Linked DNA regions of Mus musculus. The protein of the gene in region 1 purifies or fractionates together with the protein of each later gene. This does not show direct contact. Links are inferred from orthologs where the notes say so. Each region holds a gene or a part of one and is shown on either strand. Other genes may lie near its edges.

Evidence for each region. The genes of interacting proteins can lie anywhere in the genome.
Region 2: the proteins of Cdc42 (region 1) and Map3k11 purify together in Homo sapiens (affinity purification with western blotting; 3 studies listed by BioGRID and IntAct, with this or other methods). This does not show direct contact. The link is inferred for Mus musculus from reciprocal best matches to the Homo sapiens genes CDC42 and MAP3K11.

What each region holds. Positions count from the first base shown.
Region 1 is NC_000070.6:137,354,960-137,359,199, forward strand, and holds the start of Cdc42 (cell division control protein 42 homolog), read right to left. Parts: upstream 2,801-4,240; 5' UTR 2,687-2,800; intron 2,680-2,686; exon of another isoform or gene 1,836-2,679; intron 1-1,835. UniProt on the Homo sapiens protein: Plasma membrane-associated small GTPase which cycles between an active GTP-bound and an inactive GDP-bound state. In active state binds to a variety of effector proteins to regulate cellular responses. Involved in epithelial cell polarization processes.
Region 2 is NC_000085.6:5,692,131-5,695,630, reverse strand, and holds part of Map3k11 (mitogen-activated protein kinase kinase kinase 11), read right to left. Parts: intron 2,698-3,500; exon of another isoform or gene 2,610-2,697; intron 471-2,609; coding exon 290-470; intron 135-289; coding exon 1-134. UniProt on the Homo sapiens protein: Activates the JUN N-terminal pathway. Required for serum-stimulated cell proliferation and for mitogen and cytokine activation of MAPK14 (p38), MAPK3 (ERK) and MAPK8 (JNK1) through phosphorylation and activation of MAP2K4/MKK4 and MAP2K7/MKK7.

The DNA.
Region 1 (4,240 bases):
AAGTTTGACTGTGCATTCAAGCCCCATCAATTCTCCTCCAAAAAGTACATTAGACCAAAAAAAAAGAAAAAAAAAATCTGCAGTATACGTATCATAAAAGTAACTAGAAATGTGGGGCAGCATTAGACTCAGTGGGTCACAAAAAAGAACAAGAGTTGGGAGATGGACTCACTGAGGGGAGAGCTGAGGGACAGAGGAGGGAGATAGGGTGGTCAAAATATAAAATGTTTCACATGTATGAAAATCTGAAATAAAATAATCTACAAAAATATTCCTAAGAAAACAAATCTTTTTGCAAAGATTTGTAAACTTTGTAAACTTTAGTCTTGATGGGTTTACAAGGATCACCGGAGCAGGGAATGTGTTTACTAAGCACAGGTATTGTCTCAATATGAAAACATCTTGAATTTAAATAAGAGTTTAACAGAATATAAGGCACTTTAGGGTCTTGAACAAATTGTTTAAAAACAAACTCCTTGTAAATACTCAGTTGCCAATCTCTTATGTCAAAATCAAACTAATTGTGTTTTTAATTTTTATTATTATTGTGTGCATTTATTTGTACACATACACACTGGCAAGAGTGTGAAGATCAGAAGACAGCTTTTGTTTTTGATTCTTCAAGACAGGCTGTGTAGATGAGTCTAGCCTCAAACTCAAGAGTTTGCCTCTGCCTCCCCAGGGCTGGGATTAAAGGCTAGGACCACTAAGGCCCAATGGAGAACAACTTTGGAGAGGATTCACTCCTTCCACTTTGGGTTCTGGGGGACCCAACTAAGGTAGTCAGGCCTGTTGGACAAGTGTTGTTATCCACTATACCATCTCACCAGCCCAAACTAGTTAATTAAAAAAAAAAAAATGGTGCACATATAAACCTTTTAAATATAGGCTAAAAAAAACACAATAGTAGGTAAGTATTCCAATTTTATATTCCTATATGTCACATTAAGGCTAACAAATTTTGGAAGATTTTGGAAGATTCAAGCTCCACAACTACCAACTACAGAAAGCCAATTTGAATCCACCACTCCAGTATTTTACAAACATCATTTTCTATACAAATGAGCAATAATGGGAAAAGTCTTGTTCAAACATGAGCCACCCTTACAGGGATGCACTGGATATCATTTGCTTTGCAGTGTTAATGTTCTTCAATGCTAGTGTGTACTATAATCAAAGGACACACCATTCTAGTGATCTAAAAATATTACTCAAGTTTTTAGGGTTAGAAATTAAAATCAAGGTTGGTAATTCAAGTAGCTCATTCCTGTAAGCCCAGCTCTTGAGAGGCAGAGACTAGGAGGTCCCTCTATGTTTAAGGTTAACCGGGGCTACATATGGAGACCCTGTCTCAAGATAAAAAAAAAAAAAAAATCCAAAAGCCCTTTTAATGGAAAAACTAAAGCATGCAACTTTGAAGTTGCAATCCTAACAAAGACAAATCAGGGGTATGACGAAATTCTCTTTTCACCTCATTCTTCAAACCATGCACTGAAGTTGGGTTCTTTACATCAAGTAAGTCACAATTAGTGTGGCAAAGAATTGCTCCTGCAATTCACCCGAGTATATAGCCAAGGGGTCCTTTAAAGATCATACCTACACAAGTGGCTGCAGACAGTGTATATTCCCTGACCAAAATAACTTAAACCTAAGATTTTGAACCTTCGGTATTTTAGGTGCATCTCAGGCAGCCTGAAGACAGGCAACAGGATTTCAACAACAACAAAAAAAAATTGCCACCTTACTCTGAACCAATGTGCTGGGTTGACCCACAAAGGCCGCAAGATGCTGTCTTAATTTGAATAGCCCTGACTTGTAGGAGTTAAAACTCTCACCCCTTATGCTGCGATGACGTAATCTTCCACACTGAATTTCTCCCAGAGTTAAAGGGGTGGAAAGAGGAATTTACAAAATAGTAATAATAACCGACAAAGAAAATTTCCTGCTAGGAACGAGGAACTGAGTAAGTGGCCAGGCGGGGTTTCGGGAGGTGCTTAGGCAGGTCCCGGATGGCAAAGAGGCCGGCCCCGGCAGGAGAGCCCCGGGAGCCGCGGGGCAGGAGAGGACACGGCGCGGGGCTGGAGACCGCCGAGGGGCGCAGGCGCAGAGCCGCCCGGTCCGTCACCTCGGCCCCGGCCCGGCCCGGCCCTGCGGCCGCAGTTCCGCTCCCCTCCCCCGCCAGCCGCAACGCGTCCGTGGCGGGGCCGGGGAAGCAGGAAGTCGAGGCCCACAACGGAGAGACAGCCCCCGGCCTCCGACCCCGGTCCGGACCGGGCGTCTCCCACCCCGCGCCCCGGGGCCTCGGAGCCCGCGGGCGGCCGGAGGGGGAGGGGAGCGGGTGGGATGGGTGTGCCCGGTCCTCTCGCCGCCGCCGCCGCCGCCGCCGCCGCTGACAGCTCGGCCGGGCTGTGCCCTCGGCCGCCGCCATCCCCGGCCGCGCCGCGCCGCCATTCCAGCCCTAAGCCTCGCCGCGACCCCGCCTCGCTTCCCTCAGAACCCGGGCCGGCGGGCGCACGCGACCCCGGCAAGCCCTCCCTCGCGGCCCACCGCCCGCAAGCACCGGGATGCCCCTGCCCGCGAGCATCCTCGAGAACCGAGAGAGGACGGGGGGGGGGGGGACACGCGAAGGGGACCGGGCGGCGCAGAAGACGCTCCCGCAGGGAGGCTTCTCGGGCCCCGCACTCACCTCAGCTTCTCCGCCGGGGCGTTGGCAGCACTGCGCGGGGCCTCCTCGGCTGCCGGACAGGGGCACGCGCCTGACGTCAGCACGCAGGGGACGCATGGTTGGGTGCCCGCGGAAGTGGGAGGGACAAAGAGAGAGAAGGGGCTGAGGGCGGCTCGGGCTCCGCCCCTTGGCGCGCACGCGCGCGGGCTGCGTTCCTTGCATGCTCTGGTTGGCTCTCTGCGCCTTTTAACGGTATTTTTTATCCGTAATAAAACTATGAACAATGATGTGCACGGTGTTGTAACTAAAGTTTATTTTGAGTCTTGCAACTTCGTGAAGAAAAGTGTTGTAAATATGTTTTACTTTTATATTTTTGTTTATTTTATTGAGACAGGGTGTCATTATGTAGCCCTTGCTATCCCAGAATGGCTATGTAGACCAGGCTGTCCCAGAACACAGCAATACTACTGCCTCTGCTTCCAGAGTTCTGATATTTCAAGAAATGTACTACCATGCCTGAGCTGTCTCTCTCTTTTTTGTTGTTGTTTTTTGTTTTTTGACAAGAGTTTCTTTCCATGGGTAGCCCTAGCTGTATTGAAACTTGCTGTGGAGCCCAGGCTAGCCTGGAACTCAGAGAATCCCTTGCCTCTGCTTCCTGGGTGCTGGGATTAAAGGTGTGCATCACCATACCCAGGCTACCGGGTTTGTTTTGTTTTGTTTTGTTTTTAATAACTTGAGACGTGATCTCGTTTAGCGCAGCCTGGATTTGAATGCTTAACTAGGTACCAGAGGTTGATCTTAAACTGCTAAGCCTCTACCTCCGAAGTGCTGAGCTTATAGGCGTGCCCCTCCATAGCCTGCCTCTTTGCTTCTCTGAGAGAGGAAGTGACTTGCTGTGCACAGCTTTATCTGTCTGTTTTTGGAGTGGGAGTTGAGTATCACCCTCGGTTTTGTTTAGAACTAAAGACTTTCCCCCTCAAAAAAGTCCTACATTTACTGTCCCTGAGTGCTCTCCCCTGGCCCCTTTGGTTGGATCTGACCTATCAAATCCTTCTCTTCCCTGTCATCTCGGCGCCTGTTGAATAGCTGCCTTCTCTGGCCGTGTACTAGCTGCTGGAGAATAGAGAGCCTAGCCTTCTGTCAGATGCTCCCCAACATTAGAGGAACCTTATCTCAGTAATGTTCTCTTGCGGGCTGGAGATGTAGCCCAGTCGGTAGAGAGCTTGCCAAGAATGCACGAAGCCCCACGTTAGTGCCTCTACCACATTCATAATCCAAGCTCTGAGATGGATGGCTGTAATCCCAGCACTTGGGAGGTGGAAGCAGAAAAATCTATGGTGACCCTTGGTTGCATAGAAGATTCAGAGTGTCCTAGGATACAAAACATCCATTCTCAAAAAACAGGAGGGTGTGTCTTAAGGAGGCAGAACTCTGAGACCTCAGATGTGTGCTCCTGCATCCAGCTTTATGTGGGCCCTAGGGATTCGAACTCAAGTCCTCACACCTGCGCAGCAATCACTTTGCCCTCTAAGCCACCTCCCAGCCTGCAATCTACTTCTTTCAAAGCTGTACTGT
Region 2 (3,500 bases), on another chromosome or scaffold:
CAAAGGGCTCAGGGCAGGTAGATGGGATGGGTAACGTTAACTTGTTTACAGCCACACCATAGGCTACGGCAAGACAGTCGATGCCACGGTAGGGCACCTCCCCAGTCAGCAGTTCCCACAGCAGCACTCCAAAGCTGTAGGGAGACAGAGATTCGGATGTTCACCTCAAAGCAAGGAGGAACTAAATGGTTTTGGGTCCTGGATTCTGCCTGCCTGACCACCCCTGGGCTTAAGCAGCCCTTCTCACCCTCTGTAGCCCCACACTCTCCGGTCCCAACACTGGCTGTACCTCCAGACGTCGCTGCCCTTGGAGAAGGTGGAGGCCTTGATAACCTCGGGAGCCATCCAAGCGTAGGTGCCCGCAGCACTCATCTGGGTGGTTTTGTGCCACTCTCGGGCGAGGCCGAAGTCAGTAATCTTTAGGGTCTTGTGTTCCATGTCGTCACCCTCGATGGGCTGCAGCAACAGAACTGGGGAGCAAATGGAGGAGGATTGTGGGGGTGCAAAGGAGAAGCGTGCAGAGCAGGCGCATCTCACAGTCATCCTGGCCAGGTACTGACACACAGGTGGCTGGTGAGACGCTGCCCTGAGAAGTTCACAGCCGGGGTGGGGGGAGACTTGACTACTCAGGTGACAAGCAGCACCCATTTACTGGCAAGACATTACTAAGTTGCTGCCTCTGAGTACTAGAGGCCAACATTTTAGTTAGTTCTACTAAAAGAGATAAACTAAACTAAACCAAATTAAACAAACAAAACCATGAATTATCATCATTTTACAGGTGAGGAAATAGCAGGGACCTGCCCAAGTCACAGCAAACAGATTCTAGTCAGCCTAGGGCTCCAGAGCTAATGCTCTAGCCTTTTCATAGCACGGAATGGATTAAAAACTGTAATGTGGCCGTTTTCAGTGTTGGTGGCTCTGCTTTCAAGAGAAACCTGAGGTAGGCATGGTGGCATATTCCTTTAATCCCAGCACTCAGGAGGCAGAGGCAGGTGGATCTTGGAGTTCAAGGCTCAAGGCCAGCCTGATCTACAAATGGAGTTTCAGGAGAGCCAGGGCTACGCAGAGAATCCCTGTCTTGAAACACACACACACACACACACACACACACACACACACACACACACAGAGTGAGCGAGCAAGCAAGAGAATCCATTGAGTGTCTTGTCACTCTGCTGAGGCAGGAGTATGAATCGGAACTTAGGCCAGGGAACGGGGAGGGAAGCCCTTAAAGAGCAAAGATCTCCTCCAGGAGGTCACAGCACTGTGACCATCACAACCTCTCACAGCAGAAGACTTCAGAAGACGTCTACAGCAGGAGTTGGGTGTAAAGAGAGAGGGAGGTGAAGGTTCTGGTCACACTTGGCAGGGGTCACACTTAGCTTTGGTCCAAGTGTGGCTACCAATCTCAGAAAAAGAGAGGCAACATCTTAGCAAAATCTTGCCAGGATAAAAACAGTTCAAGTGAGCAGCAGAGTAGCAGGGGACCACGTCTGAATCCTCAAGGGCCCATCAGTGGTGAGCAGTGCCTTCTGTTTTGAGCATGTGGCAGGCACACCCCCAGCTCTCTTACAGGCTATCAGTCAGGGCTGCAATGGGACAGGATAGGTACTGAGCGTGAGGAAGGGGGGAGGGCATCTATGTGGCCAGGTGAGCCAGGAAGGGCTTCTTGGAGGAGGAATCACACCAGGTTTTATCTTCAAAGGCCTGAAGCCAGAACCCGTTTCCCGGGTGATTTGGCATTAAGGCCTGACCCCTACCCACACCATCCGTTCCCAGGTCCTCTTGTTCGTGACTCTGTTTCCCTCTGAATGCTTCAGTTCTGGTGCTCTTCGAGCGCAGACACAGACGCTGCCACCTCTGGGCTGCCTCCATCCACTCCAGACTCCTGCCCCCTCTTACATGGCAAGACAGCAATGATGCGCTCTACCCACTGTCAACATGCCCTGCGTGGCTCTTCTCTGCCCCCACTCCTGGCAGACTTCCTTCCAGTTTCTCCTAGTTCAGGGAATGGTGTTGACTCCTCCTACTCCTCTTTTGCACTGGGAGTGAGTCTGGCTCCGATAAGGCAAATGTACCTCACAGGTTGTCCAGGAGTCTTAGACCAGTTCAGACATTGAAAAGCCTTTAGCCTGGGCCTGACGTGTGGCAGAACTCTTCTCAATGTCTTTCGGCATAGAGATCCTGTGCTCACGTCTGTCAGAGCCCACTCTTGCTCTCCACCCTTAATCCTAACTTCCGCCCTCCAGCCCCAGGTCAGCCTGCCAAAGGCAGCAGGGACCCGTTGTTAGGCCTGTGCAAGCTCATCTCAGGAGGAACCACAACAGGCTGGGGCAGGATGGGAGAGAGCACAGGTTCTTTCCGGAGCCAGGACCCACCCTCCACTGAGGACTTGCTCCTGCCTCCAGCCTGGTCTCTAGCACACATGGTTGCCCACAGACGGGCAGAGCACATTCTGCATCGTGTTCTTAGGCAGGGAGCCAACCTGCCTCTTTTCTCGTTGTGGAATCTGAATTCTGGTAAGAGGCAGCACTTGGTGTCTCAGGCCTCTATCTGCAGCCATTCTGCTACCTCCGTCTCCGCTCTGGGTTTTGTAGGCACCTCACCTCTGCGTCCTCAGCTTCTCCTCCAGCTTGTTTTGCATCCTGCCTGGGTCCTAAGTTATTGTTGTGATGCTCGATGGAGACCTTGGGCCTGGGAGGTCAGGGGCCACTCAGAAAAGCTGCAGAGCTCAAAGCTTGGGGCAGCTTCCCAGCCGTCTCCTTACTGTCCCCCCACCCCCTCCTGGCCTTTGTCAGGCTAGGGAGTAGCCTGGCCAGCTCACACCTCTTCCGCTTTCCTCTCATGGTCCCTACTTCTCCTTTCTAGGAGGCCTGGGCCAACTTGGGGGGGGTATTCTTTGGGGGCAAATTGGGGGAGGTCAGGTCCAGGCCGGCTGGCTGGTCAGTCCTGTGACTCGTGGGCCTGGAGAATTCCCCCTTCTCTCGAGGCCAGGCCTCCTCACAAGGCCCCCATTGTCCAGGAAAATCATGCCATTGTTTCCTGCCTGATTCCCCCCCACCCCAGCCCAGGGACTCCCCCCACCCCAATCCCACAGACAGCAACTCGGGCCTAGGACTGGGTCTGCAAGGTTGGATGCCAGGCTCAGAGGCTGAGGGCACCTTGCCTGCCCTTCACCAACACCCAGACTCTGAGAGGGAAACAGGGGAACTAGGGCCTGGAGGGGGGCAATCCCTGGCTCCTTCCTCTCCCGAAACCCCTCCACCCCCAGCTCTTTCCTCCCTTGCAGGCAGCTGGGCCAGGGAGGGAACAGAGCTGGAGCTGGGGCAGGAAGCCAGCCCAGGGGCAGCAGGAAACACAGGAAGCGGTGTGGAGGGTGGGGAGCAGGGGCCTGGACTATTGTTCCATTTTTTTCTGGAAGGAGAACGGAGGAAAAACAGAAGACAGGAGCCCCCACCCCCTGGGCCTTCGGGGAATCCCCCTCAGGCTAGTGGAGG